Caenorhabditis elegans: one gene and its partner. The protein of the gene in region 2 purifies or fractionates together with the protein of the main gene of each other region. This does not show direct contact. Each region holds a gene or a part of one and is shown on either strand. Other genes may lie near its edges.

Region 1 (15,603 bases), on a different chromosome or scaffold from region 2:
CATTTTACGACATTTTCTACTTGCTTTGTTTTCTTGTTTTTCACCGATTTTTCCCGTGTTTTCTTATTAAAACTGATAAATACATATTTTTTGTTAATGCTAAAATAATTTCCAGATGAAAAAATTGTGAATTCAGCCGGCAAGCAGCGGTGAAAGTGGGCATTGTAATATGATGGATTACGGGAATACAAAACCCAAACTTTTCCCCAAACATGATACATATGATGTTTAGATGCTAAAAGTACCTCATTTTCATAACGATACCGCTGAAAAAGTTTTGAGATTTTCAAAATTCAACTTTTTTGGTAAAAAAGTCGAGATTTTGGCACAAAATGTTGAATTTTGAAAACCTCAAAACTTTTTCAGCGGTCTCGTTATGAAAATCAAGTAATTTCAGCATTTAAGCATCATATGTATCATGTTTCAGAAAAAGTTTAGGTTTTGTATTCCCGTAATCTATCATTTTACATTGACCACTTTCACCGCTGCTTGCCCACTGAATACATAATTTTTTTACTTGGAAATTGTTTTAGCATCTGCAAAAAATATTTATTTATTTGTTTTGATAAGAAAAAACGGAAAAAAATCGGTTAAAAATGAAAGAAAACACGCAGAAAACAATGCAAGATAAATGGCCGCTGAAATTTGTCGGGGACTCGGCCATGGCCTAGAAACCTTTTTGCCTCGTCCCTCGTTCGAAAAAAGTTGCAGTGAGTTGGCATAAAAATTGGTTTTCTCGAAAAATTTGACATCTTTTCAGAATTTTCAAATTTTTCGCCAATTTTTCTCGAAAATGCTCTTCAAATGTTTTTTTTTGTTAATTGCCGCCAGAATTTTTAGGACACAATTTTGTTTTCCTAAAAAAAAAAATTGAAATTCCAGCTGAAAATTTTCCCACCAAATTTGACATTTTCATCCAAAAGCGCCAAAACTTTTCTCAGAAAATTTAAAAAATTTTAATTTTCCGCAAATTAGTTTTTTTTTTCCAAAAATGAAATTTCCCGGCAATACTTCTGTAGAAATTTTGAATATCGCGCCAAAATTTTTCTCAAAAAAATTCTTTTTTTTAAATTAAAAATTAAAAAAATTTCTGAAAAAATTTGAATTTTTCGGCAAAAATTCAAATTTTTGTGAAAATTTTAAAGAAAATGTCAAATTTCCTCCTAAAATTAGCTTTCTTTACAAAAAACATTAAATTTTCTCAAAAATTCAAATTTCCCGCAAAAAAAAGTAGTCAACAATAATAATAATAATATTCGGTCTTAACAGATCTTCTTCGCCGCCCTCTTCGCAGTTTTATCAAAGGAATTCGGATGGATTACGAGTCCCGGTGTTATTGGTGTCTCCGTATCGTATGCACTTAATGTATGTACCGATGAAAATCTGGAAAAAATTGGTTTAAATTTCAAATTTTATGTGAAAAAACTCGATTTTTAGCCCCGAAAACTGTATTTTTCACATTTTTTCACCTAAAATTCAAAAAAAAAATTTTTTTGTAGATCACAGAAGTGTTGAATTTCGCGGTTCGTCAAGTTTCGGAAATCGAAGCGAATATTGTGTCAGTTGAACGTGTAAATGAGTACACTAACACTCCAAATGAGGCTCCATGGAGAATTGAAGGCCGTGAGCCTGCTCCAGGATGGCCGAGCCGTGGAGTTGTGAAATTTGATGGATATTCGACAAGATATCGTGAAGGCTTGGATCTCGTACTTCATGATATTTCAGCTGATGTGGCTGCTGGAGAAAAGATTGGAATTGTTGGAAGAACTGGAGCGGGTAGGTAGGGAGAAAATCTGGAAATTTTTGACTGAAAATACCAAAAAATTCGGATTTTTTGACCCAAAATTCAATTAAAAATTGGTCGAAAATTGGCCTAAATCAAAAAATCAAAAAAATTGTCAAAATTTTAAGTCAATTTCCACGAAAATTGGCTTTTCGAACCAAAACCCCCTTAAATCCAAAATTAATAACAGGAATCCGGTGGCATGATGGTGGGTAGGTTGCAGATGTTGTAATTGTGATTTGTGATGCAAAAATGTATTGAAATTTTAAATTTCCCCCCAAAAAGTGACTGAAAATTTGAATTTCCCGCCGAAAATTGACTGAAAATTTGAATTTCCCGCCAAAAATTGACTGAAAATTTGAATTTCCCGCCGAAAATTGACTGAAAATTTGAATTTCCCGCCAAAAATTGACTGAAAATTTGAATTTCCCGCCAAAAATTGACTGAAAATTTGAATTTCCCGCCAAAAATTGACTGAAAATTTGAATTTCCCGCCGAAAATTGACTGAAAATTTGAATTTCTCGCCAAAAATTGACAGAAAATTTGAATTTCCCCCCAAAAATTGACAGAAAATTTGAATTTCCCCCCAAAAATTGACACAAAAAATAAGGGTAAAGTGGGCGGAGCCTATTCTACAGTACCCATCCGAAAAAAAAAACAATTTTTTTCTTATTATACATTCGTAAAATTTTTGAACCACTTTTTGACGAATGTGTAATATTAAAATTGTTTTTTTAAAGTTTTTTTCCGATATTGTAATAATTTATTTTTTTAATCAAAAAATTTGAAAATATTGGGTTTAAAGTGGGCGGAGCCAAGTCTACAGTACTCTTGAAAATGGTATTATTTAGGCAAACGTATAATATCCCAAATTATTTGAATTGTTTTCCGATAAAAAGTGGGCGGCGGAGCCTAAATACATCTGAAATTTGATTTTTTTTTGGGGTACTGTAGAATAGACTCCGCCCCCCACTTTCTTCCTGTTTTTTAAAAATCAATTTTCGGCGGGAAATTCAAATTTTCAGTCAATTTTTGGCGAAAAATTCAAATTTTCTCACTGAATGCCCCCTAAAATCCCAATTTTCCAGGTAAATCCTCGTTCGCATTGGCCCTTTTCCGAATGATTGAAGCTGCCGGCGGTCGAATTGTGATCGATGACGTTGAAGTTTCTCAAATCGGGCTTCACGATCTTCGTTCTAACATTACAATTATTCCACAGGATCCTGTATTATTCTCAGGAACTCTTCGTTTCAATTTAGATCCATTCTTCACTTATTCCGATGATCAAATCTGGAGAGCTCTGGAACTTGCTCATTTGAAACATTTCGCTGCCGGTCTTCCAGACGGTCTTCTCTATAAAATCAGTGAAGCCGGCGAGAATCTGAGTGTTGGACAGCGGCAATTGGTCGCGCTGGCTCGGGCTCTACTCCGGCATACTCGGGTTTTAGTGTTGGATGAAGCGACGGCGGCTGTCGATGTGGCTACGGATGCTCTGATTCAGGAGACTATCCGAGAGGAGTTCAAAGAGTGTACAGTATTCACGATTGCGCATCGATTGAATACTATCATGGATTATGATAGGTACTACTGAATAAGACTGAAAATTTGAGAATTTTTGACTGAAAAATCTGGAAAATTGACCGTAAAATAGTAATTTTCGACCGAAATTTGGTCTGAAAATGCTTGAAATCGATTTTTGTCAAAAATCGATAACTTTACCATAAATCGAATCGATAACTTTACCATAAATCGATTTTTTTTCCTATTAAAATCGAGTTTTTAAAAAATTAATTTATCGATTTTTCAAATATCGAAAATTGTTCCATTTATCGATTTTTTTTGAAAATCGATAACCTTTACAATTATCGATTTTTAAAATCCTAAAATAATTCAATTTATTTGAAAATCCATAAATCTAATTTTTTTTGTGATTTTTCGAATTTTATAAAAATCTTATATTTTAATTTTTTCGAAAACTGAAAAAAAAAAACAATTTTTTTCAATTTTTTGAAAAGTCGATAAATCTAATTTTTATCGATTTATCGATTTTTATAAAAATCGGGAATTTTTCGATTTTTATTAGAATCGAAAAAAAAAATCGTTTTTCAATATTAAAAATTGAAAAAATTAGATTTATCGATTTTTCGAAAAAAAAATCGAAAAAAAATTTTTTTTTTTCCGATTTTCGATTTTTTATGAAAAAATGGAAAAAAATTAGATTTATAGATTTTTTCCAAAAACTCGAAAAATTAACCAAAAACTGACTGAAAACCGTGGAAATCGTAATTTTCGACATAAAAATTCGCCTTAAGATGCTTGAAATTCAAAGAAATTGACTTTAATTTTGATTTATCGATTTTTCTAGCAAAATCGAATTTTATCGATTTTTTAAAAATCGAAGATTGTTAAATTTATTGACTTTTTAAAAATTAGCATCGAAATTGAAACAAATAATTTTTTCAATTTTTATGAAAAATCGATAAATCTAAAAATTTTTTTGCGATTTATCGATTTCCCAAAAAATCGATAATTTTACTTCTTTAAAAAAAATCAAAAATTGAAAAAAAAATACTGATTTTTTTCGATTTTACCCCAAACTGCCTGAAGAAGTCCGTAAAAATCGCAATTTTCTACCAAAATTTTGTCTGAAAATGTCTGAAATTCTGATAAATTGAATTTAATTTCTTTGATTTATCGATTTTTTCTATTGAAATCGAATTTTTACGATTTATTGATTTAATAAAGTGGCTAAAAATGGAAATTTTTGTCTGAAAGTCAATAAAATTTTCAGAAAATGAATTAAAATCGAAATTTTTTTTGGAAAATATTTTAAAATCTTCAAAAAATTCCGCTGATATTGGGATTTTTTACCCAAAAAACTGGAATTTTTTGAAAAAAAAATTTTTTTTTGTTGGTATTCCCGATGAATATTCCAACGCAAACCCCCACATTTTACCTTTCATAAAACCCCGAAAAATCCCAAATTTCCAGAATAATGGTGCTCGATAAGGGTTCAATTCTGGAATTCGACACACCGGACGCCCTAATGGCCGACAAGAACAGCGCCTTCGCAAAAATGGTCGCCGACGCTGCGGAACAGGACAAACACGAGTGAAATTGACACAAATTGACACCCAAAAATTAATATTTTCAAAGCTTTAATTCATATTTATCCCCCAATTTTTACCCCCGAAAATTCCCGAAAAATGCTCAATTTTTTGGAAATTTCACGAAAAGTTTCACTTCTCACACAAAATGAAACCGGTGCTCTCCCTTTTTTTCTCTTTCAACTCATATTTTATTACCTATTACCCATTTTTTGTTGAAATTGTGTGATTTTTAGCCGTTTTCTGTTAAGTAGAAGAACAATAAATTGATTTTTTCGCGAAAAACATAGTATATTGCTAGATTTTCGACTATTTTGAGGGCCAACTAACTCTGTAAAAATTATTGACACTAGCGGGGACTCGAACCTAGGACCTATTTCACCATAGCCGTCCATGTACCCAGTTGAGCCACTTCCATCCTTTTTCAGAAATGCTGACTAAGGCTGGAATTTGAGTTTTTTATATATGTAGAATTTTACTAGAAACTAGGAAACTACATTTCCGGCTGGTTTGGAGCACCGGGAGCAGCTAGGAGCTCCGTGAGCAATTTTAGAAGTGAAATTCGAAAATTTCAAAATTTTTGATATGGGGGTCAAATCGATGCAGAATTTTACGCTGAACAACATTTCAGTTGGCAACTTTTTGATAACTCTTCTAGTTTTTCAGTTATTTGCGATTTAGTCGGAAAACTATTTGAAAAACCTGAAATTTGCGAAATTCAGCTGAAATTTCTGATGTTCTCCATTAAAACATCTGCCTGCATGTTGCATTACCCTGGAAAAATTATTGACACTAGCGGGGACTCGAACCCCTGGCTTTTTTCACCATAGCCGTCCATCTACCCAGTTGAGCCACTTTCACCATTTTTCAAAAATGCTGGCTAAAGCTGGAATTTAGGTGTCCCTGGTGTAGAATTTCACGGTTATTTTGAATATCAGATTTTCAGCCAGTTTGGTTCACCGGGAGCAGGTAGGAGCTCCGCGAGCAGTTTTAGGTGTCAAATTCGAAAATTACAAAATATTCTAAATGGGGGTCAATTCGGTGCAGAATTTTACGCTGAACAACATTTCAGTTGACACTTTTTTGATATCTACTCTAGTTTTCGAGTTATGCTTCGAAAAAGTCATAATTTTCATTAAAAAATAACTTTTTATTGCAAATTTCAACACACACACACACACACCATAAATAAGAGCAATAAATGTGACATTTTACAGTTTTAAAGAGTTAATCGAATTTTCCACTTCCAGAAGTGGCTGCATGAAGCCACTTGTCCACAGTATGAACGTCGTAAGAGGTGACGAATTTGACACGGCGATGGGTGTGCTGAAAATTGGTTTATTAAACAAAAAATTGATAATATCTAGATTTTGGACTGTCTGAGTGTTGTATATCTATTGTATATAACATTAAAAATACTAATAAACCCAAAGGGATTCGAACCCCTGACCTATTTCACAATAGCCTCATCAATCTACCCACCTGAGCCACTTCGCCCCATTTTCAAAATTGCTGGCTAAGGCTGGAATTCAACCGTACCTGATGTAGAATACTACGGGGAACCCAAAAATCATGTTTTAAATAAGTTTGGAACACCATGAGCAGCTAAAAGCTCCGTGAGCAATTTTGGGTATCGACCTTGAAAATTTGAAAATTTTTTATATGGGGGTCAAATCGATGCAGAATTTCACGCTGAACAACATTTCAGTTGGCAACTTTTTGATAACTCTTCTAGTTTCCGAGTTATGCCTCAAAAACTATACAGAACCCCAGATTTTTTGTTTTCACCTGATTCGGAGCTTCCTCATTCGACCACAGTTGCTCGGTCCAATCAACCACAACCTGCCCACGTGTCTTTGTTCCATTCAGCTCTACATCGACATACAGGTACTGAGACTTTTTTGCAATTTTATCCTCATCGATTGCAGTAGCCACAGCGATCTCGTCGCAGTAGGAGTATTGGCGGCCGTTGGCCTCGCATTTTACGCGGCCTGGAACATACAAATCGAATTTAGGAACTCTAAAAAAAAAATGTACTTGTTGACTAATCTACAGACCTTCGAACTCTAAAAAAATTATTGACACACTAGCGGGGCCTCGAGAAGCCCGGACCTATTTCACCAAAGCCGTACATGTACCCAGTTGAGCCACTTCGACCCCTTTACAAAACTGCTGGCTAAGGCTGGAAGTTGAGTTTTCTGGGTGTAGGATTTTGCGGGTTATCCGAAAAACGAAATTTCAATACGTTTGAAGCATTGGGAAAGGCTAGGAGCTCCGCGAGCAATTTTAAGTGTCAAATTCGAAAATTTGAAAATTATCGACATGGGGGTCAAATCAATGCAGAATTTTACGCTGAACAACTTTCCAATTGACAGTTTTTTTTTGGTATCTAGTATCTACCCTAGTTTTCGAGTTATAACTTTAAAAAACCTTACCAATGCTGGTGGCCAGCGATAAGTAATTAGCCAATGGGGTTCCATACTTCAAATGAGCCGAAAAATCAACTGAAGCATCATGGGTCTTTGATTCAAAATAGAATGCCTCCCATGGAACAATGGTGATGGGACACTTCATACGTCGGAGCACAATGCTCGCGGCTTCCGGGTCTCCGTGGAAGTTGTACTCGGCTGAGGAACCTGGAAAAATTAGGGGGGCTTTTTGGGGTTTGACGGGTCTGTATCTCCGTCGGTTTTGGGTTTGTCAACAAATTGTTAACTGATGAAATGTTTGTTACATGTTTCTGAACAGGTTTATAGTTGAAACTTTTCTAATATCTCAAAAATGAAACGAGATATGGCCCGCCAAAGTGGTCCACCCTAGTTTTTTTTTTGAAGAACCTACCTCCATCAACATTTCCGACCGCGTAATAATTTCCTCCCATGATTACCAGCCGGGATGGGTACGTCGAAAACTCCTCGCAGAGTTGGAGAGCAATCGCCACGTTTGTGAGGGGACCGATGGTTCTGAAAAATGGTTTTGTTGAAAATTTAGGGAAAATTGAGCAAAAATAGATTAAAATCGAAATTTGACACCCAGAATAGCTCGGCGTAGGCGAAAATGTAGGAGGACTGTATGGATACTGTAGGAGTACCGTAGGACTTTAAAAGGGTAATGTTGAGGTACTATAGGGGTAATGTAGGGGTACTGTAGGAGTACTGTAGGGGTACTGAAGCGGTACTGTAGGGTTTCTGTAGGGGGTCTATTGGGGTAGGGTAGGGAAACTGTCCAGGTACCAGGGATACTGTAGGGGTACTGTAGAAATACTGTAGGTATACAGTTATGGTACCATAGGGCTTTAGTGGAATTAGTGTAGGGTTACTGTAGGGTTACTGTGTGTGTACTGTGGGGGGAACAGTAGGGGTACTGTAACACTATTGTGTGAGTACCTGTTCGGTTACCAGAGGTACTGTAGGGTTATGTAGGGGATCTGTTGGGGTACTGTCGGGGTACTATAGGGTTACTGTAGAGTTGCTGTAGGGATACTGTAGTGTTACTGCAAGGGCACAGTGGGGAACTGTGGGGATACAGTAACACTACTGCGTGAATACTAGAGGGGAACTGTCCGGGGTACCAGGGATAGTGCAGGGGTACTGTGGGGTACTGTAGGGATAGTGCAGGGGTACTGTGGGGTACTGTAGGGATAGTGCAAGGGTACTGTAGGTCGCTGTGGGGGTACTGTAGGGGTACTGTAGGGATGCGGTGGGGGTACAGAAGGGTTACTGTAGCCTCAACTTACACCAAAGTGGCATCCCGATTCTCTCTCAAAATATCGATTAAAGCAAGTGACGCATGCTTCCCCTCCCCCTCAAAATCGGATCTTTCGACTTTCGGGAACTCCTCCGGCTTATCACCGATCCCATCGATCCCGAAAAAATCGGATACGGTATCATCCTTCGGCAGCGACAAAATCGATTTAGCCGCACCCTTGTACACTGGGATATTGCTCCGATCGTTGGCTCGGATGGTTCTTTTGATGTTCGCACAGGCTTGATCTACTGTCACACAGCCGTGGACTGCGGTGAATGCGAGAATTTCGGCTTTTGGGTGCTGCAAGGCTAGGGAGATGGCTCGCACGTCGTCGCTTACACCGTCAGAGTCTGAAAATCGATTAATTTTTGTTTTTAAAGCTTAAAATTTGGTAAACTTTATGTAAAACTTTAAAAATCGATAAAACTCGCTAAGCAAGCGCGCTCCAGTGAACTAGTCCGTTTTCCGACGCTAATTTCAAATTTTCAAGTGTTTTTTGACGAAAATAAGTGGAAAATTTGAAGACTTCTTGTTTTTTTTTAAATTAGAATTCTCGTTTATCATCTGAAAATCCGAAAAAATCGATTATTGAAGCGTCTAGACTCGTTTTTTTAAATCGCCAAGCAATGCAATCACGCTCCAATGACAAACTCAGTTTTCTGGCGGGAAGCTCGAATTTTCCAGTGTTTTAACGAAAATCTTCGGAATTAATACGTTTTCGGTGTATTTGAACGTAGAAAAGTAGAAATTTTAAAAAAGAAAAGAAAAAACTCGAGTTTTAACGAATTTTATAGAATTTTTTACTCAAAAATTGGTTTAAATTTGTTTTTATTCTCCGTTTAACTCACCAATGACCAGCTTAACCTTGTCCACAGTCATGTTGTCTTTTTTCTGAAGAGCGTAATGTTATTAAAGTGAAAAAATTAAACTTAAAATAACTAAATAAATATATGAATTATTTCTCGTCGCAAAAAACGCAACATTTGGGCAAAAATCAATCTGTCACCTGAATAATGCACACAATCTTATCATTTTTTATCAATTCTTATCGCATTTTCTTCGATTATTCTCGCTTTTTCGCCGTAATTCCGCATAAATGCGATAATTCGCGAAAAAACTACGGTTTTTCTTAAAGGCGCATAGCTCAAAACTTCAAATAGGTCTCGCCACGAATTCAGTGATGTGAGGGATTCGATGGAATTTTGAATTTTTAAAATCGATTTTTGCGATTTCTAGACGGTTTTTCGCCGTTTTTTCGGAGATTTTTGACGAAAAATGGAGAATTTCGACGGAAAATCGATGCCGCCAACTCCGGTGCCAATCGGATCAAGTCAGGTAGGGCAAAAATCCGGAAAAATCGATACAATTCACAAAAAATCCGAATTTTTTCCAGTTCTACCGCTGGATGCCGCACCCGATCGTCGATACACCACCGTCAGATGCTACGTGGCGCAAACCGGTGCCACGCGGCCGAATTCGTGATCTCGTCGCCGCGTTCGATCAGTGCTCCGGCATGCTGGAGCAGAAGCCCCCACCTCCGCCCACGCAAAGGGTTGAAAGTCTTGAAAATGGTGCGGAAATCAATCGATAATTGAGAAAATCGATAGGGGAATGCGAAAAAACTGGAAAAAAATGGGGAAAATTGAGAAAAATTGAGGAAAATGAGAAAAAAAAACCATTTCCCCCGGTATTTCTCCTATTCAAATGCAAATTTATAAATTCACATGTATTGTTAATTTATTTGCACTGTCAACACACCAACTATACAGTTTTTACATGGAAAATTGATTTTTTAGAAAAAACAATCGGAAAATCCCAAAAGTTTTGGGAAAAATCCAGAAAAAATGGGATTTTTCGCAAGTTTTCGGATGAAAATTATGGTTTAAATTGAATTTTGAGTGGAAATTTGCAAAATTGGACTTTTTCAGAGAAAATAGTTATAATTTGCAAAAAACTAATTTTTAGAAATTTTTTTTTCCAAAAATTCAAAAAAATTTTTTTTTTCAAAATTTTCATTTTAATTGGCAATTTACCATTGAGTTTCTGGTGAATTTCGAAAATTTTCTCTAAAAAATCCTGAAAAAACGGAAAAACCTCTGGAAAATTCTAAATTTCCAGCAAAACCACCAAAATTGTCGGATTTTGTGTTAAAATTCTGTAATTTTCGGTGGAAAAATCGCTAAAATTTAGAATTTTGTGATTTTAAGCTAATTTTAAGGAATATTGTGAAAAAAATTAAATTTTTTAAGAATTAAAAAAAATTTCAAAAAATTTTTTTTTTTTTCAAAAATTAAAAAAAAATTTTTTTTCGAAATATTCACTTTTTATTGGGAATTTTACGAATTTTGAGCGAATTTTAAAAAAATTCCAAAAAACGATAATTTTTTTGCAAAAAAAATTTTTTTTCGAAAAAAAAATTCAAGTTTTTCCAACTTTTCACATTTTTCTCAAAAATGATCTTCAAAATTCGAAATTTCCCGCCAAAAATAACCCATTTTTCTTCCAGAACACATTGCTCCACCGCCAACTTCAAAATCCTCCAAAATTCCGGAAATTCTCGCCAAAAAATCGGAAAAATACATCTCACCGTACGAAAAACGTCATTTTCATGGTCGTCGTGGCACCCAGGCTGTCGTTTTTAATTCGAATAATGCTCAAAATGCTCCAAATGTGGGCGGAGCCTATCCATATGGAGCCACACCGTTGAAATTGCGAAATTTGGCCCAAAAAATGGATAAAGAGGAGCTCTACGTGGCTGATGACGTTGGAATTTCCAAAAAATCTGAAAATTTCGAAAATTCCGATGATGACGTGGCAAAGTACGAAAATTTGCGGCAAAAATGCTATAAATTCGAAAAAAATTCAAATTTTGTAGCCATTTTTGACATTTTTCCTTTAAAAAAAAATCTAAAATGTCCAAAAAAAAGCCGCGAAATTCAAATTTTTAATTTTTTCCTATAAAAATCGAAAATTTGCAGAAATTTTTGAGGTTTTTGAGACAATTTTTTGAATTGCCCAACTTTTTTTTGTTAAAATATCGAATTTTAAGTAAAAAACTACCGAAAATTCGACTTTCTCGCCTAAGAAGGGGCGGAGCCGCGCAGGCCACGCCCACAAAATGGTTATTAGCGATTTTTCGGCAAAAATTGCGAAAAAATCAATTAAAAAAAATCAATTCGGATTTTCAGTCAAAAATTTTCTAATATTCGATATTCTTGCCTGAAAAGAGGGCGGAGCCTAACAGGCCACGCCCACCAAATGGACGGAGCTTATTTTCTAAATACTAAAAAAAAACAAAAATTACAGCAAAAAAAACAAATTGAAATTTCAAAATTTCAAAAAAAAAGAGGGCGGAGCCTAACAGGCCACGCCCACCAAATGGGTGGAGCTTGTTATCTAAATACTAAAAAAAAAAAAAAAATTTGCAGGAAAAAACACAAATTGACACTTCAAAATTTCAAAAAAAAAAAGGCGGAGCCTAACAGGCCACGCCCACAAAACGGTTATGAGCTATTTTCGCTCAAATTTTGTAATTTTCAGTCAAATGTTCCCTAAAAATCGATATTCTGGAGCCCACAAAATGGCGACGAGCATATTTTCGTCAAAAATCGGTAAAAAATCGATATTTTTTGCAGTTTCCAAGAGCTTCTGGTGCTGGATGAGGTGCTGGAAAATGCTGAAAATTCTGAAAATCTGGAATCCCAGCAGTACGACGAGGAGAGCACCCTAAACCGAACATTTCAAGATTCTGGAGTTCCAGAAAATCAGGAAAATCTTCTCCAGCTCCCTGAGTGCCCAAAAACGCCGAAATTCACGAGTTCGCCCACGCTTTTCACACCGTATGCCGCTGGAGAGCCCATCGTTGAATATCGATGCTCGTCGGGCTCCGCGGGGGGTCCACTCAAAATTGTTGTGAAGAAGCTTCAGGCACCGATTGCACTTGCCACTTCGACACCGAAACCCGCAATGTGTCGGCCGCCGAAACACTCGGAACCACCACCGGCTTTTCAGGTGGATTATATCTGAGATTTTTGGCGGGTTTTTCAGTGAAAAAATTGAGAAAATCCCCGTTTGGAAAAAAGATTTTTAGTGGTTTTTGTGAAAAATCGAATTTTTCTCAAAAATTTGGAAAAAAATCTATTGAAAAATCGATTTTTTTTTTCGAAAATTTCGTAAAAAATCCATTTTTTCGAAAAAAACCAATTCAAAATTTCAAAAAAAAAGGGTTTTCTCTCCAAATTGTAAAAAAATCGATTTTTCTTTGAAAATTTTCTTCGAAAAAAAAAAGTTTTATTATATTTCGTTTAAAAAAATCGATTTTTTATTGTAGAATTCCGTAAAAAAATGGAATTTTTCGAAAAAATCAGTGAATTGTTTTTTGTTTTTTAACGAAGAAATTTCTAAAAAAAAATCGTTTTTTTCGAGAAAAATTTCATTTAAAAATCGATAATTTTGAAAAATTTCGATTCAAAAAACGTTTTTTCAAAAAAATTTCTTTAAAAATCAATTTTTTGAACTAAAATTTTGTAAAATTTCGTAAAAAATCGATTTTTTTACATCAATTTTTTGCGCAGGATTCCTTCGTGAGCTCAATCAGTAACTGGTCGGCAGTAGATCATCACGCGACGGATTCGCGCCGTCAAATGAACCGCCTACTCAATTCAATCGATGAAACTCGACATCACATTTTGCTCGCCGAGCACTCACTACTTGAAGCCCAAAAATCGAAATGTCCAATGCAAGAACTCGCGTCGCAACGGGTTTTGCTAATTTGTAGAGAACGGTTGAAAGTTCAATTGGAAGAAGTTCGGAGGCTTCAGGCAATGACTGTTGTCAGGCATCCACCACCACCGATTAATCGACATTTTAAATCGACTATGGTCATTTCGAATATTTCGCTTCAGTTTAATAAGCATTTCCATAGTCGTACGTGGTTTTTGAGTCTAAATTCGAGATTTTTGGGCCAAAATTGACTAAAAATTTGAATTTCCCGCCAAAATTTGACTGAAAATTTGAATTTTTGAATTTCCCGCCAAAAATTGACTGAAAATTTGAATTTTTGAATTTCCCGCCAAAAATTGACTGAAAATTTGAATTTTTGAATTTCCCGCCAAAAATTGATCACATGTTCGGTAGAGCGCACTTCGAAATTCAGAATTAAATTAGCGCGCATTCTGCGTTTTTAGTTAAAAATTTGAAAAAATTTGTGGTTTTTTGACACAAAACTCCAAAACATTGAATTCCCGCCGAAAAAAAAAATTGATTTTCGGTGGAGCGCACTTGCTGCAAGTATGCTCTACCGAACATTGATCGGTTTTCAGCGGGAAATTCAAATTTCCAGTCAATTTTTGGTGGGAAATTCAAAAATTCAAATTTTCAGTCAATTTTTGGCGGGAAATTCCAAAATTCAAATTTCCAGTCAATTTTTGGCGGGAAATTCAAAAATTCAAATTTTCAGTCAATTTTTGGCGGGAAATTCCAAAATTCAAATTTCCAGTCAATTTTTGGCGGGAAATTCAAAATTTCTGTGTTTTCAGGCGGCTCTTACGCTTTCCTTGTGCTCCTCAAATGCCGTACAGAAGTCGAGGCAACCGGTGTCGTTACCCTTTTGGCTCAATTCCAAACTCCGCAAAATTTCATTCTTTTCGGTGAACACTTGCGTTTTTCCAATCTTCCCGTCGATTTTACCATTGGAATGGAGATTTATATGATGGTAATGCTTGACAACAGAAAATAAAAATTTTTGACTGTAGTGGGGGTCGAACCCCGGACTTCTGGGCCGTAGCCATACCTCTACCCAGTTGAGCCACTTGTACAAAAAATTTTTTTTTTTTCGAAAAGAAGTACCAAAGCTGAAAATCTGCGTAGAGTTCTAATTTTTGATTAAAACCGCTCAAAAAACATCGTAAAAAATCAGTTTTTGAAAATTTTAGCCAATAAAGTCAGTTTCAATCGGTTTTTACCAAGAAAAACATCGTAAAATGATTTAAAACTAATTAACCCACCACTGGAGAGTAGCAAAAAAAATTTTTGACCGCAGCGGGGATCGAACCCCGGACCTCTGGGCCAGAGTCTAACCTCTACCCCACTGAGCCACTGGTACACAAAAAAAAATTTTTTTCAAAAAAAAAGGCCCCCCGGCCTCAAATTTTTTACTGATTCTGAATTTTTAGGTGTCTTACCACACGAATAGATACAAATACCTCAAAAATCTGGAATTTTCAGCGAGTTCCCGAGCACCGACCACCTGAGAAGACGTGCGCCGCGTTTTTGGCACAAAAAGTGCGGAATTTGCTGGTGCCGAGCAATGGTAATTTGGAAATTTTATTTGTTTTAGGAAATAAGGATGAAATTCCAAAAAAAAAAAAAAAATTTTTTTTCAAAAATTTCAAATTCCAGCCGCTCACCGCCGCCCGACTACCTCCACGCCACAAAAATCGATACAAAATGCCACGTCACCTGCGTGTGACTTCCAACTTTGCGGAAATTTAACGTTGGACCGCGATTCGTCGGGCGATAACCGCCGCTTCTATTTGGATGACGTCATTTATCCGCTGGAGGGAACTGTGAAGCTCAATTCACACTGCACATCACTTCCTGATGCAATTGATATGGAATATCGAGGATTTCTTCATATTTTACACGATTCTGCAAGTCCTTTGGAGAGGTACTTGGAAATTGACTGAAAATTTGAATTCCCCGCCAAAAATTGACTAGAAATTTGAATTTCCCGCCGAAAAATGACTGAAAATTTACATTTTTGAATTTCCCGCCAAAAATTGACTGAAAATTTGAATTTTTGGAATTTCCCGCCAAAAATTGACTAAAAATTTGAATTTTTGAATTTCCCGCCAAAAATTGACTGAAAATTTGAATTTTTGGAATTTCCCGCCAAAAATTGACTAAAAATTTGAATTTTTGAATTTCCCGCCAAAATTTGACTGAAAATTTGAATTTTTGAATTT
Region 2 (16,581 bases):
GCCCTCTTGTATTCATCATTTTTTATATTTTATTCGCTCAATAATATTGTTATCTCCAATTATGCGGCTACAATAGCTTTGAAGACGTTTTTTAGTGAATTATCGAAAACTGGGCATTTTAACCAAAAAGTTGACACTTTTGTAGCCGTCTAACTTATTGGAAATTGTAGAAAAAGAAAAATATATAGTCACATAACAAAATGTTTTAAACATTTTAAAAGTGAACTTCCGAAATCTGAGACTTTGCATTTTTAGACTCAAAATGACTCAACAATACCAAATTTCGTAACGAGACGTTTTGAAAATTTTTCAATAAAAAGTTATGACAGTACAAAGATCGGGAAAAAAGGCTCATTTTCAGCTAATATCAAAATTTTTGCCAACTTCTCGGTGTCGTAAAGGAACTTGATTTTTATTTAATCATCACTCTTTAATTATTATTCTGATCGCTTATCCTTGATTTAGATACATTTTGGGTCAGTGAGGCACAAAAATGTAGTTTCTGAAAATGTAATCTGTGACACTGAGAAGGTGGCAAAAATATTTGATTTTTGCTAAAAAAAGGAGTCTTTTTCAAAAACTTTGAACCGCCATAACTGTTTTGGGTCATTTTAAGTCTAAAAAGCAGCAAGTCTCAGATTTCGGTATTGCACCTCTAATGATCATTATGGTTTTTTATTGTATGTGTCATTTGATTTACTTTTGCAGATATCTGATTTTTCAAATTTAGTCAAGAATGGCTCACTTGAACAAATCATGTTTTAGAAACGAACAAACAAATGAAGCTCAGTAGATTTATTATTCAATTTGTGTCAACGTGGAGAAAAAAGTTTATAGATACAATATTTAAATACAATCATTGAGTAAGAAGAACTTTTCTAACTTCATTATCAGAATCCGTCCATTCCACAACTTCAAGTCCCACCTTCTCATTGGTTTTTGGCATTGGCGGAGCTCGCAGTCCAACAATTCCCGTAACAAATTTAGATTCAGTAGGGTGCGGCTCAGATGTAGCAAGAGGCTCCGTCCCAGACCCTTCTCCAATTTCATTCAAATTGTTAGCACTTGTGCTTTGATCTACGGTCGGTTGCGTTACATTAGAGACGTTGGAAGTAACTTCATTGCTAACTTCCTGGAATGCTAAAAGTGTAACTGGCTTTACATCCTTTGCAGGTACTGTTGTTATAGGTTCTGGTGTAAGCGTAGTGGACGTTTTTGGAGAGGCTGTGGTAGTCGTCGTACTTTCTATTGCTGGACTATCGGAAGAAACTGGAGTTATTTCCGTAGTTGTCGCTTTTTCAGTAGTGGTTGATGTTTCTGGAGCTTCAGTAGTCTCACTTGATGTCGCAAAAAATTCAGAAGATGTGATCTCGTCTTTTTCTAATACTGAAGTCTCTGATGATGTGTTTTCAGTTGCACTTGTTGTGGATGGAATCGTGGATACATTCTCGATTGACGCTTCTTCTTTTTCTTCTTCTGTCCGCCCTGGTAGCAACTCCCCATTCCCCAAAGTTCCACGTTCTTCGGCACTTGTTAGTTCTTCCGATCCAGGAATAATTGTAGCAATTGGTAAAGTTGCACTTCCAAGACGTTCCAAAAATGTTGGATGTTTTCTATCTTCACCACTCTCAATTGACCCCACTGTTTCTGGCGTCACAAAAACTGTGGATCGTTCGAGGATTACAGGAGAAATAGTCGGCTTCGGTTGCATTGTTGCCAGATACTTTGGCCGAGCATAACTTCCTCCTTCACTGTAACTTGGCGGCGCTGTTGCATATCCGTTATTGCCTCCAGTGTTCTCAGAGATCCATGACGGTCGATTGTACAATGTCTGGTATTGGTTTTGGTTTGAATTCTGCCACGTCTGCTGATGTTGGTACCCGTAAAAGTATGGAGAATAGTAGTTTTGATTGTTCTGCAACAGTGAAGTAATCAAAAACCGTGAAGTGGGTTTTCAAAAAAACCTGATATTGAGACGACCACTGTTGCTGCGGCTGTGTCTCGTAATACTGCGCATTTCCGTAGTATGGTGACCCTGCCCAGCCATACTGTCGGCGGAACCTGAAATTTTATCAAATACAATCTGACAGGACCAACGTGAAATCTTTGGTTGTTTTTTTCTAATAGCTGATAAGATAAAGATAATATTATAGTATACAGTCATTTTTAACAAAGTGGCTGAAAACTTGTTGAAATTCAGACATAGAAAATTTTAGTTTTTTTTTTTCAAATACATAATATAAATTAGAAGACTATATCATATAAAAAAGTGACAGTATTGCAAGTGGGAAATTTGCCAAAAACCACTCCTACAATATTTGAAATGTTCTTATTGGCAGTCAGAAAGTGGCAATTATTGAGTTTTTGCCACTTTGTGAGAAGACTATAAAACTCTCGCATGTTCAAATCCCTACAATGTTTGAATATTACCATTTGCACGGGTTTCTGGTTCGACCCCTCGGTGTATTTTGTGCAAACACCGTCATGTGCAAATGCTTACACTTTTTCAACGCGCCGCGTGAAAATTCCTCTTGCGAATTCAATAAAAATTTCCCGCCATTTCGGTGTGCAATGGAGAGCGGGGTCGAGCCAGAACCTCGTGATTTGAAACAAAACTAAAAAAAACACCACTTCAAAAAATGTGACAAAAGCTGAGATTTTTCCAATTTTCAAAAAATCATATTAAGGTTTTTCAATAATTTCCCCACTGGCGCTACTTCATTTTTAAGATCAGAAAACTCACCGATTTGGAATATATTTAGATTCAGTAGAAATTGGAAAAATCGTAAAACATACAGTGAGAATTGCAACAAAGTTGGACATTTTTGTGAACTATTATGTACCTACAGGAGAGTCTAAACAAAATGGTGTCCAATTGAAAGACGGCAATTTCGGAGGGAGAAAATACGAAAAATACAACGCTCGTGTCAAGGTTATGTTACAGATTAAGTGTCGCCAAGTCATCCGCTTACCATCTCGGATTTATATCATTCATCCCCTTGTCCTTCATTCCGGTATGACTCATTCTCGCTCCACAAGACACATACACACACATTTGGTGAACTGACCAACTCGAAGAAGGATGAAAGTGACCACCCGTCGCCCACGCATTGATTGGATGAAAACATCGGCAGTGATATGATATGACAAAAAGATGATGTAGTGTTCGACGACTACGACTGATAACGCCTTTCTAACAATTTGATATAAAAATGTGATCGAGTTACCTAAAATTCAAATCTCACTTTCATTTGTTTCTAAAAAAATGACTTCTCTCCTAAAATCTCTTAGTATTCTTGCCCTCGTCGCATTTGCCAATGCCGGAATTCTGAACAGGTATATTTCCACTTTTCACAATTAAAGACTTTATCATCTTAAGGGTGAAACGTGGATCATATGGTGCTCCAAGCAACTATTCCCCACCAGAAAGTCAATATGGGCACAATGGAGGTGGTGGCTACGGAAGGCCAAGTGGTTATGGACAACCTGGAGGTGGGTATGGTAGACCTCAACAATATGGGCAAGGTGGATACCAGCAAGGAGGAAACTATCCAAACAGCGGGTTCCAACAGGGAGGATTTCAAGGCCAGTCTGGCGGATTCCAAGGGCAAAATGGAGGATTCCAAGGTCAAGGTCAATTCCAGGGAGACCAATCCGGGTTCGGACAACAAGGAGGATCACAGACCGGGTTCCAAGCATCACCTCCAGTTCCAGCTATGCCGCAACCTGGAGCAGGTAGTTCAAATGTCGGACCAGACTACTCACCTGTAGGGCAAACTGCGCCAGTTGCTTCTCCAGGAGCCGGTGGATTGTTTGGTGGTGGATCAGCTAGTACTGGCTTCGATGATCCAGCTTTTGCAGCTGATGCTAAGCCTGAAAAATCAACGACCGATACTATCACAGAGACGTCGGTTACTGGATCAAGAAAATGAAGATTTAAGTGTTTCTCACTGTGATATATGGACTTTGTACATACTTTTTAGAAATAAAATATATTTCTGTGTATTAAAGATTCTTGTCTTGATTTTGTAACAAATACAAATATCATTTAGATTAATTAATAGTCTATACTTATAGTGCCAAAAAGATCAAATATTATAGTGAAATTAATCAAAATGTTGTTCACAATATTGCTGATTTCTTTTTCAGATCCCCTAAAATTTTCAACAGAAGTTTGACTGGAGATATAGCGGTGGACATCTCACGGGTCTACTTTTAGATGATTTTTTTTTAAACCTCTGTAGCTTTGGAACAAAAAAAACTTTTCATAGGAACAGTTCTAATGATAAAATACTTTGAATAAACATATTTTTAAAATAACTACATATTTTAAAACACTTCATTTATTTGCATCATGGCATATTTTCAACTACTAAGAAATAGGGGCTAAGACTTCAATCAACTTGTGCAAAGAATGGCGAGAAAAAAAATTGTGAGAACCTATGGAAGCTTAGTAAAAAGAGACAATTTAGACGAGCAAAGATTTAATATAGACCATGAGAACATTTACAATACCGAGTAAGTGTAACACACAAAAAAAAGTATTATGACAGACAGAAAAAAGTAGTCGCTATGGAGACATCAAAACTTTTCAGAACATGTGTGAGTCGGCGCTTTCTTCTTCAACAGATTCCAAAATTGCAGAACTTTCAACGGTCGAACGATGACGAGCGAGAACACGGAGAAGTGGACGCAGAGCCATCCACCTGAAATTTTTAAATTGAAATTTATCGCAGAATGTGTCCAGGAGCGTTCATTGTCATTAGAGCGCGCTTACTAACAACTAACAAATTCTCGAATACGCGGGAATCAGCTTCCACAGGAAATCAGTTTTTGAAAACATATTTTTTGGGTTCTACGGAAATTATTGTCAAATTTTTAATTTACATTATTGCTGACTATGAGGAACATTAAGCGAATGGCAAACATGTAAAATTGGGCTCTTACGGCCGAGAACGAAAGTTTTTTTTTTAAACAGTCATCACAGAAATTATAAACAATTCATATCCGGCGGTGATTAACTTCATGATTTTTGAAATTACACAGTTATAAAGATCTACGTGATTTTTTCAAATTTTAAATGTTGAGAACTAATCAAATCAATAAGTAATCAAGGGATTTCATGAATATGCATCTTCTCTACAAAATGATCAACCAAATACCGGCCTAAAATCGAAAAACTGACTGTTATGATACAGTTTCCAAAATTTCCTAAATTTACACACTTTCGATTTGTATATCGAAAATGTTTAACAAATCATAACAATAATATAAATCGGAAAAAAAATCTTCTAAAGGAGCCAAAAACTAGCCAAAGAAACTGATTTTTGATAGAAACAAATTACCGCGCGAGTTTGTAAGATGTCAGAAAGTGCGCTCTAACGCTAGAGGAAATCGTGCTCCACGAGTATTGCATATAGCCCTTAAACTTATGGTTTAGATATTTAACAAGAATACAGACATGCTGTATTCCATTATGTTATTTTTAGTCTAGAGATTGAATAGTTTTTTCTACAAACTACTTGTCCACTAACCATTGCTCTGATGGAAGACGATGCTCAAAATCGGTCTCCTTCTTGAGATCTTGCACCGGCGTGAACACCACCTTTCGTCCTTTGAGTCCAAGAAGCGTCGCAGTATGGGCTGACTTGGCGATCACCTTGTTATCGGCCGTCAAATTTTCCTTGAGCTGAATGAGCAAAAACTCCAAAGCACGAGCGGCCAGCTTGGTTCCCATATTTCTGTCGAACGGCGTTGGAGATCCACCCTGTTGAACATGTCCGAGAACATTGACTCTTGTGGTGAAGTTCTTCTTTCCTTCAGAATCAAAAAGATTCTGCACAAAATCTGTGGTGAGGTTCTTGTCGGCCCACTCATTTCTGACAACCAAGTAGCGTTTCGCTCCAACTTCCATCTTTGAGAGAATCACATCAACATCATCGGAGAGGTCTTGAACGGTGAATGGCTCTTCAAAAATGTACGCATTATCCGCACCGGAGCTCAACGCAGAAAGAGTGGCAAGGTAACCACAGTATCCTCCCATTGTTTCGACAATGAAAACTCTTCTCTTGGTACCAGTGGCAGATTGCTTGATTTTGTCGATCATCTGGCAAATCTCATTGATCGCGGTATCGGATCCGAGAGACACCATAGTTCCTAAAATTAGAAATGTATTGTTTAAAAACCTTATATAATGAAAAACAAACCTGGAACATTGTTCGAGATGGTGCATGGGATGACACACATTGGAATGCAAAACTCGGGATACTTTTCGCGATTTTCAGCAAGAATTATTGTGCTGTGATACGCTTCAAATCCTCCAACAAGCAATAACGCTTGAATATTGTGCTTCTTCAGTTGAGCAGCAAGTTGAGGCATAGTTTTCTCAGTTGGAAGACTTTTCTGTGTGCCAAGGAACGATCCTCCGTTCATTGCCCAGTTAGTAACATCGGACCACTTGAACTGTTTGAATGACCCATTGGCAAGTCCCTCAAAACTGTCTTCAATACCGTACACGGTACACTGATGGTAGAGAGCCATTCGAACATAAGAGCGGACGGCTGCATTCATTCCACCGGCTGGAGCGCCAACGTTGATTACAGCAACATTGAATTTGTGTCCTTCCGAAAGATTGTCCTTTTCGACGGTTCTCATCTTAGTCAGCAACTTGTACGTTTCAAGATTTCTCTGGAAACTGCGTCCACGAAGCATCACAGCCGTGGTCCAGTCCTTATCCGCCATTGCCTTCTGTACCATTTGAGTTCGTTCGACACACTTGAGAAGTGGCACACGGACCATAACATTTCCGTCAATTGAGATAACACAAGGTTCTGATTCCTGAAATAAAAAAAAATTATACTTCTTTTCTTTCAAGCAGGAATAACGGTTTGAACGGTGAAAGTGTAGACCCAAAATGTGCTCAAATAAACGAAAAAATTTGTAAATTTCGTTATGAAGCTTTGCAAAAAATGTTCAAACTTTTTTCTTTGACTGTACAAAATGTTAGAAAAAATAGTCTAAAATCTCTAATTCTGAGCTTTTTTCGGTGTCGAAGCTGCCTGAAATTGATTTTTTGAGCGCATTATTATCTTTTATTGCATTTACTAATTTTTGACATTTTTTGGTCACCTACCGGTTTTAAATATACCTTGACTAGGGCTTCCATGTGGCGCCGGTAAGGCGTCAGCGCCGGCTTCACGCCGCAAATCGCGCCACAGGTATAGTACGGCGCGGAACCCCCAAAGTGTCGACCGCTGCCATCTTTGCGAACTACGTTGCGCACACGTCAAATTTCTCTTTTCACGCCAAGCTGCGAAACAGCGGCAGACGGTGAAGGAGGTCCGGCGGGAGGCCCGTGGAGGCGCCAACGCCGCGCCTCTCTCACAAGGAAGCCCTAACCTTAACTATCAAAATAATATGAGATGAAGGAACAAAATTTACGACAAAGTTCGATAATCCAAAAAAGCCAACTTCGGGCCGCTGCGGCACTGAAAAAAACTACAATTAAGATTTTTGTTAATTTGAAAACATATTGGTTCATACGTTCAAACCATTAATGAAAAATTCACAGAAAATCCCAGAAACCTCAGTCATCTCCATGAGAGCAAAAACTGCTTCTGCTCCCATTCTACATCCAAGAAGTCGATCAAAAGCAGATGGAGCACCTCCGCGTTGAACATGTCCAAGAATTGTAACGCGTGTATCGTATTTCAGCTTCTCCTTGACAGCAGTCTTCACATCCTCGGCGGTGATAGCCTTTCCATCACGATCAATAGCTCCCTCGGCGACAATAATGATGTTAAGACGTTGACCCTCTGATCTCATTTGAGAAAGTTTGTCGCACAAGACGTCACGCCAATTTTCCGGTGCCGGCCATTCAGGAATGAAGCAGAAGTCGGCTTCGGAAGCTAGAGCAGCAACTAGAGCCAGATATCCACAATGGCGACCCATGACCTAGAGTAAAATAAGTATATGAATTATTTTCTTGATAAATTGAGATCACCTCAATAACAAAAGCCCTTTGATGACTTTGTGCAGTTGCGACTACAGCATCAATAGAACTGATAATTCTTTGAAGTGCCGAGTCGGTTCCAATCGTCATGTCGGTTCCACAAAAATCGTTGTCGATGGATCCGACAAGTCCGACAATTTGAATGTAAGGAATCTTTTTCGCAGCCGCCGCAGTGACTCGTTGATTTTTCACAAGTTCTTGCACAAGATCGGTCCACTCCAAACGGAAAGTGTTGGCTCCAGTGAGAGATCCATCTCCACCAATGCATACAAGACGACCAATTCCACGATTAATCAGGTTGGTGGCTGCCTGGAAATTTAATTTTAACTTTCAAAACTTTCAAAAATTTGTTTTATTGGGCTAATTATTTTCTCACCTTGAGACGCCCTTCACGAGTTCTGAATTCGGAAGATCTTGCGGAACCAATGATAGTTCCTCCTTGCTGAATAATATCGGAAACGGTGTTCCACGTGGCTTCCTTGATGAAATCTCCACCTTCAATCATTCCTTCGTATCCTTCGTAGATCAAATACACTTTACATCCACAGTATATAGCCATTCTTGTGATACTTCGAACAGCGCTGTTCATACCTGGAAAATAAAGTTTCAAACGTATTCTTACAAGGAAAAGTTTGAATTTTATTAAAAGTGAAATGAATTTTATATGGAGACTCCACACAAAATTTTCATGGCAGGTCAAAATTTCAAATTTTGCCCTAATTCATTCGTACCTTGAGAGTCTCCTCCGGACGTGTAAATCGCGAGAGTACGTCCCTTGAAAATATCCGACGCAATCTCAGTTCCTTCTCTTCCAGCAGTTGGGACGATTGAGTCGAAGCGGCGCAAAGCTCGCTGACGGATAAAGTCGAGCTCTTCTGGCGTGATTGTTGATGCGTCCGCGTCCATTTCGAATTATGCAAAATTCTGTAATTTATGACAATAGTATTTAACACGAAGGATGAGAAAAATGGGATGAGAAGAATGAAAAAATTTTGAGAAGAAAAGGATAAATCTGAGAACTGCAAGAGAAAAATGTTGACAAGCAAAAACTGATTAATCGATGCGGACAATGAATGCGCGTAATACAGTGTGGCAGGGACCATTGTGGTTAGAAAGTGCGCGACGCAGATACAACAAGGAAAACACAGAAACAAACAACTGCGCGCGGTCATATTACCCTGTGGAAGGTCAACTTTTAATTATTATTTTTATAGGAGGAGCATTGAGTGGTTCTGGACATTTTAAATTCAATGAATTTTGTAATGAAACTTCCAAATTTTTTTCAAAATTTTTTATGTCGGTTTGAAATTTTAAAAATTTAAAAATTCAAAAAAAAACCTATTTCAGCTAAAATCTCTAATTTTGTCCATTTTTTCGTGTTGCATCGGTCCGAAGAAATTAACTTTTTTTCAAATTATTATATTTAATGGCATAGCTTGACTTCATTTCGTTAATTAGGATACATCGTATTTTTTCTAATGTAGTATACATTGCACTCCATTACTCAACTTTGACAGCTTAAATCTCAGTTGGCGTTTGTTTTATTGAAAACTGATCAACTGAAAAAACACTTATTTTTATTTTTTTCTATATATTTGCAGTTGACAGTTTATTGATATTTTTTAAACGAACATAGATATATCCTTTTGGAGTAAAGTAATTGGATGATATACTATTAGAGGAAATACGTAATTTACAGCTGATAGGTAACCTAAAATAAAAAAAAATAGGTCACCTATCGGCTTTAACTGTACTATAATCAAAAAAAAAACAAGAGATGAACGACCAAATATGCAACAGAGGATTGAAAAATCAAAAAAAAAGTATTGCCAAAATTGAAGATTTTAACTAAAATTAGGCCATGTTTTTTCGAAATTTTGAACCGCCATAAAAGTTTATTGAATTAGTTTAATCCATTTGAGTAGATATTAAGTTTAAACGTTCAAAATAATACCGAAACTTCAACAAACAAACGTTTTATTTAGTTCCTTTGGTATAAGAAAACAATGAATGATGCCAAGTGAGAAGTGATAGTGATTGAAATGGAGAGAGAAAAGATGCAGAGTAAATAATGAGTGTGACGAACGCATGGGAAAAAAGAAAAGTAGAAAAAAGCCAAAAATAAAAGGTTTCGACTTTGAAATATGCTATGGCAAGTACACATGATGCAATACACGAAAGAAGCCCCTAGAGGGGGGATGCACTTTTGATCTTGACGCAGGGGACCCAGACAACTGAATGTATTTATACAACAGAAACAAAACATGAAAACCAAAATTGTGAATTACATTTTCCTATCAAATCGACTGGATTGAATGAATGATTGGTGTGTTTTCTTCTTCTTCACTTTTTCAGCCTTCAGCAAGGGAAAAAAACTAAGCAGCCAGAAGCAAAGTGCGAGAGAATATGCGTAACACGGAGAAAGAGATCGAGAGAAGACAACGCAAAAAAAACGAAAGCGCGGCCCTTCTGCCTTGCCCCTCGTTTCTCCAACTGCTCAATGTTTTCGACGTGCCAAAACGCATTTTGGATTGAGAAGGAAGAAAACGTAAGGGCCGGGGAGAGAGCACAAAGATTTGATTTCTTATCCGTCATGTCATTTGTGTCTAGTTATCAAAAATAAATCAATTTAAAACATGAATAGAGCTAGTGGAAAAATTTAAAAAAAAAACACGCCTACGGTACCACAATGGACAAATATCATAAAAGAAAGTTTCAAAAAAATTTTCTAATTTTTTTTCCAATTTTCAAAAAATCAAAAAATCAATTGAAACTTTAAAAAATTACCATAACATTTGGTCACTGTAGCGTGTGTTAAAGAAATTTCCTCACTGACTCTACTCCTTAAAATTTGAAAAAAGAGACTACGCAGGGAACTAATACAATGTTGATTGTTAATGCGAGTAAACAGTAAGTTGAAAAAGTAAACACTGCCCTCAGGTTTTTGGGATTCATAACCAACAGTGCGAAACGGCCAAGTGGCAAGTTGTTGTTCAAAACTTTTCAATTGATATTGGAAAACACTCACAAAAACATTTACAAACTTTGTTTTTGGATGTTTGTTCAGAATTCCCGGCCCAAAAATATAGCCTTAAAAACGCTAATGCTAACTTAATATGGACAAAAATGGTCACATAAAATTTGCAAAAAGATTAATTTTTTTTTTGGCCAGGTACACAAGTACTGTTCTTGATACATAGACAAAATATCGCAAAATAAGCTCACATAAAAAATAATTATGATAACGTTTTTTTGTCTACATGGCAAGTTGTGAGAAATTCGAAAGAGAATAGTTAAGTGATTTTTGGTACATTTAATAATGTAAAAATTTGCCTGTTTTCTCTTACTATTAATAGAACTTTTTTGAACTGTACAAAATGTTTCAAAAAGTTAAAATTCTTCAACAGTTTTTTAAAATATGTATCAATAAAGTTGTTTTAATTTAGGTTGTTGCAAAGATTCTCCGAAAGATATGTCATACATATACATATAGTAGAGGGCAAGGGTGTGCGGCAAATTTGCCGAATTTGCCGTTTGCCGAGAAAAAATTTGCCGAATTTGCCGTTTGCCGCGCTCGCCATGTTTGCCGAAAAAAAATTTGCCGAATTTGCCGAACTCGGCAAACTTCGAAATTTGCAGCACACATCAAAAGTTGGGCAATACTATTTTGACCAAAATTATTGATTATTTGCCCAAAAATTTTGTAAAATGACACAATGTGTGTTAAGAATTCAGTAGTATTGGTTCTCCAAAAACATCAAATTTTTCGGAGTTTGTTAAGCACGGCAAATTTGCCGAATTCGTCGAACTTAGTACATTTTCCTTTTCATAATTTCATCAAAAGATATGAATTCTAAAAATAACACGCATTTTAAAATATCACGCACTCACATCGAGCAAAAGTACTCTCATCTTTTCCTACTAACCATTGACGAGAAAACGAGAAGAGCCACCGATGTTGTTTTTTTTTTCTATTTGCGAATGTTTACTAGTCTCCACTGTGATTGTGGTTAGCCATGAAACAAAACTGATAGGAAAAATAAATATTTAAAGTGGAACTGACCATTATTTATTGTCAAACATAAAATGAATAACGAGAAAAAAACTGGTCTTTCGCTCATAACAAGTAGAAAACAAACTTGGAGGTGATTGAAGATGGAAGATTTGGTGAAAAAAATTGCAGTATTAAAAAAAAAGATATAAAGCGTTGTCGGAAATAGGCATGTGTAAATTTTAAAAGAGGAGTAACGGTTATGGGTTTTTTTTTTGAAACGTATATACCCAAAATGTGCTCCTTGAACAAATTCCGCAATGAGTTCAAAAATGTTTTAAATATTTTTTATCGTGCTTCAAAATTTCCATAAAAAATGTTTGGCTTCTATTCCGTGTCACATTTTTCGTTAATTCAAAAGTTTAATTTCAGGCCAAAATTAGAGATTTTCGCTAAATTTGAGTCAAAATTTTGAACCGCCATAAAAAATTTTTGGAAAAAATACGAGAAGTGTCATATATTTTATTTATTCGTTCAAAACACCCAGAACCGTTACTCCTCCTTTAAGCGGAGAATAACAATGAAAAAAAGTTATTGTTGATGAGAGAGTGCGTATCACAATCAACAGACACACTATCGACCTTGATATTTTGAAACAATATAACGATTGTATGTCTGATTTTTGATTCTGATCCTATCAATTTTTAAAGATAAAAAAATCACACAAAAAAAAAGAAAAATAAATTTGAATGACGTCATTGAAAAGATTCTAGCTTTTTTGAAGATACCGAGAATAATCCGACGTTTGTGTGTAATCTTTCAATGATTTCAGAGGAATATGCCGTCTGAAACTGACTTCAGTGTATGTATATGTTGCCAACATAGCACCGAACCATGTCAGATATTGAGTAGTCTTCTTCCATTTTCTTCCAATTGTAGAGATAAATCCTGCGTAAACTATTGCTGCAATTACTTGGCGTCGAATGCGCATTCTGAAATAATATTATTCAGCATAACTTTTCAATATTGAATAATATCACTGACTTCAAAAGATGTGCTCTCGATCTGTTAAGATTCTCCAGATTTTCTTTCAAAAGGAACTTCTTGATACCCATTACATAATCGAATAAATACGAGTTCCAATCCACTTGGCGAACATCAAAGTTGTACTCCTTTTGATCTGCGGGTGTCATTTTCTCAAAGAATTCTGGCAGTCCACGTGCATTGAAACTCCATCCGCGAGTCGTGAAAAAGTGTAGAGTTTCAATCATTTTCCACACTTTCGAATACAGCTTCACATTGCTGATAAGAAATTTATGTAGGTCTTGTTCTCCGTCGTTTATGACTTACTTTTTTCGCTTTCCTATAAGACGAGCAGAAATATCTGAGATGGCAGCAGGTATATGATGCTTGATATAATAGTTTATAAGGAATAGTGAACGTGATTTGTGGAAATATGTGGATGGAACTGCGAAGCATTGCTCCATGGGATACTGAAAATATATTTAAAAAAAACATTAGAGTACTATTTAAAAGGGGAGTAGAGTTTGTGGGTATTTAGTTAAAATTGACTAAAACTGGCCAAAATTGACCAAATTTCAAAATGAGATTTCTCAAAAAAAATTTTTGACAAATAGTTTTATGAAGGCTCAAAATGTTGGAAAAAAAAGACTAATTTTGCTAAATTCTAAAATTTCGTTAACTTTTCTACGTGGTAGTAGCTTGAATGCCGTTTAAAAAATGTTTGCCGTCTATTTTGGGCCTTTTTTTTTTTCAAAATCGTCCAAACCGTTAGTCCTCCTTTAATGCATATTTTGGTAGTTCATCTAATGAAAGAAATCTGCGAATTTTTATATTTTAGCAAAATTTGGTTCTATTTTGATATTATTATTATTTACCCGCCATAAAAATTTTTGGAAATTTTTTTGTGAAGTCTCATTATGAAGACGTTTTGAACCAGTTTAAGTCTATTTAAGCTAAATACTTATAACCAGTACTCCTCCTTTAATGGAGATATTATTATATAAAACTCTGACTAACCTTTTTGTAGAATTGCTCCAAAAATAAAACAATATGACCCCAATAGAGAGGGTTCAATTCACCAGATGAACAGTGGATCACAGGAATTTCTGTCGTGCTGAAACAAAAAACAAAATTTTAAACAATTCACAGTTTGTTTAAAACTATTCTCACTTGATCGATGTTCTATATGAAGCTGACGCAATTATCATGTTAGCCACAATATCAACGGGAATAATATCAGCTTTTGATTCACTGCTCCCACACATGTTTGTCAAAACACCTCTTCCTACAGCAGCAAAGATTCCAGTCGGCCCATTGATATTGTCAGTCCATCCTGGAAGCGGTCCTTGCCACATTGCTCCTACAATCGAAGGACGAATGATAATGACTGGAATATCCTTTGCTTCGGTTTCGATTGTGGACTCTGCTAAAGCTTTGGTCAGAGTGTAGGTGTTTGGACGGAGGCCAAGTATTTTAGGTGTAATCTGAAAATGTTAAATATCGGGTAACTTTGGTAATATCAATAACGCAAAAAGAATTATTTTCATTTTAAATAGGATTTCTGAATTTTGTTGTTGAATTTTTACACTTTCAACATTTTTCAATTAATCTCCTTTTTTTCTATGAATATCAAAATAAAGTAGGGGTGGCAATGAGTTTTTTTTGTTCCGCATCGATATTTCTGAAAATCTGGGAATTTATGGTATCAACCACATTACCTGTGATGTGACGGTACTTTCAAATAAATATGTCGACTCCAGGTATTCTAGCTCGGAGCCGCTTTTTTAGGCTTCCACTCGATCTTGGTTTTTTGAAACTTTATTTTTAGATTTATGCGCGGCTCTCGCTCGATTTAGTGTATAATGTGATTGTATAACAATAAAAATCGAAAAAAAAATTAGTTTTAAAAAAGTTAAAAAAATTGCTTTGTCTATTTTTTAATCTATTTTTCGAATACATTTTTCGACAAATCTGTCCTCTTTCCTTGTACCGTGTATTCTCTATTCTCTATTAGAGCGGCATGCCGCACTAATTTCCCGGCCCTTCGTGACGTGCGCTCTATTAGAGACTGCCGTTCTACTGGATACTGCCGCACTAATTTTCGATAACTAATTTTCATATTGAAGTTACTACTTTTGGGAGTAGTAACCTCAAAATTTCTTTATAAAACCTCATATTTTATGGAAAAATTCATGAAAATTGGGTAATTTTGCCTCACAAAGACACTAAAATTCAATATTTAAATGAAAATTTATAAATTCATTCAAGAATGAACAAAAATATCTTCGAAGAAATCGAATAATTGATGTGGCTCTTGCACCCAAAAAAAGGGGTGCCGCACTAATAGAGACTGCCGCTCTAATTTTCGAAGAGCCAGTTAGAGTGCCGCTCTAATAGATACGCCGTACTATTAGATACGCCGCTCTAATAGAGAATATACGGTATATTAAATTAAGCAAAATCCGCACATAAATTTCAAACAAAAGTTTAAAATACACGAATCTGGGTGAAGCCTAAAAAATGTGGCTCCGAGTTAGGATACCTGGAGTCGCCAAACTTTTTTTCAGAAAAATCGATATGCCACAAAAAGTCATACATTTTGACCAAGGTCTAATTGCCACCACCTAATATCAAAACTTACTTTAGTCAATGTTTCGTCATCCATCCACGAAAGAGCGTCCACAAGTTTTTGTGGAGCCATTGGTGACTTGTAAATCTGTAAATTTCCAGAAATTTAGTTGATATTCTACAATGTTCAATTTTTCACGCTCACTTTTTCCGTTGTTTCAAACCTGTCGCAGTTTGCATATGCAGTTGACACATGCACCAATACCTTAAAAATACAATTTTTCTGAGACACGTTGTTTTCTCTGTTACTTTGAGATCTTTGATTTGATGACAGAGATCAATGATTCGTTTGGTTCCAATGACATTCATGGTGACTGCTGCTCTTAGATGCTCGTCGAACTTGACAGTCGCCGCGCTATGGATCACTACGTTGACCTGAATATTAAAAAGTTGGAAAAATTGAGAATTGTACTCCCTCACATTGTCTCGGATGAGCATCACATCTTCAGGATCCATTCCTAGATTTTCCACCATCATATCTCCACCGATTGCTTTCAATTTGTCAAATGCTTCTGGTTTCTCTTGGCGAATGCGATTGAAAAGGGGATCCTAAAAACTATTAAATAAAATTCCAAATATAATCAAAATACTTACATGAAGAAGACCTGACAATCTTTCTTGCGGATTCTTCCCTTTTCTTGTTCTTATCATCAAATAGATGTTTTGAATGTCATCAATAGTCCATAACAACTTCTCAACAATCACCTTTCCCAAAAACCCAGTACCTCCCGTGAGCAGCACGGAGCTGCCTGCATAGACGTCTCTTACAGAAAAAGCCATGCGTTTTTGTTACCTAAAACTTGGGTTTTAAATAATAAAATTTGCCTTTCAAATTGAAGAAGGATCAACGGTTTCTGGATATTTTGAACCTATAGATTTGTAATGTGCTAAAGTGAACAAAATTTGTAATAAAATTGCTCAAAAAAAA

Evidence for each region.
Region 1: the proteins of pfk-1.1 (region 2) and Y43F8C.13 fractionate together in Caenorhabditis elegans (co-fractionation; one large-scale study listed by BioGRID). This does not show direct contact.

What each region holds. Positions count from the first base shown.
Region 1 is NC_003283.11:19,687,870-19,703,472, forward strand, and holds Y43F8C.13 (Nucleoside hydrolase), read right to left. Parts: upstream 9,530-15,603; 5' UTR 9,518-9,529; coding exon 9,487-9,517; intron 8,989-9,486; coding exon 8,628-8,988; intron 7,855-8,627; coding exon 7,733-7,854; intron 7,528-7,732; coding exon 7,327-7,527; intron 6,883-7,326; coding exon 6,680-6,882; intron 6,218-6,679; coding exon 6,119-6,217; 3' UTR 6,031-6,118; downstream 1-6,030. Other genes in the region: Multidrug resistance protein mrp-7, read left to right, coding at 1,270-1,365, 1,500-1,776, 2,873-3,365, 4,776-4,899; ani-3 (Anillin-like protein 3), read left to right, coding at 9,914-9,973, 10,032-10,209, 11,145-11,457, 12,274-12,649, 13,213-13,564, 14,176-14,351, 14,864-14,948, 15,038-15,305.
Region 2 is NC_003284.9:2,933,226-2,949,806, reverse strand, and holds pfk-1.1 (ATP-dependent 6-phosphofructokinase 1), read right to left. Parts: upstream 8,936-16,581; 5' UTR 8,918-8,935; coding exon 8,743-8,917; intron 8,603-8,742; coding exon 8,388-8,602; intron 8,321-8,387; coding exon 8,003-8,320; intron 7,954-8,002; coding exon 7,585-7,953; intron 6,838-7,584; coding exon 6,207-6,837; intron 6,157-6,206; coding exon 5,535-6,156; exon of another isoform or gene 4,707-5,534; coding exon 4,592-4,706; 3' UTR 4,329-4,591; downstream 1-4,328. Other genes in the region: Y41G9A.5 (Prion-like-(Q/N-rich)-domain-bearing protein), read right to left, coding at 857-1,915, 1,965-2,061, 2,744-2,823; Y41G9A.10 (Prion-like-(Q/N-rich)-domain-bearing protein), read left to right, coding at 3,266-3,336, 3,380-3,932; fard-1 (Fatty acyl-CoA reductase), read right to left, coding at 12,772-12,994, 13,047-13,304, 13,353-13,495, 14,043-14,139, 14,196-14,509, 15,667-15,741, 15,799-15,858, 15,903-16,028 and 2 more. UniProt on the Caenorhabditis elegans protein: Catalyzes the phosphorylation of D-fructose 6-phosphate to fructose 1,6-bisphosphate by ATP, the first committing step of glycolysis.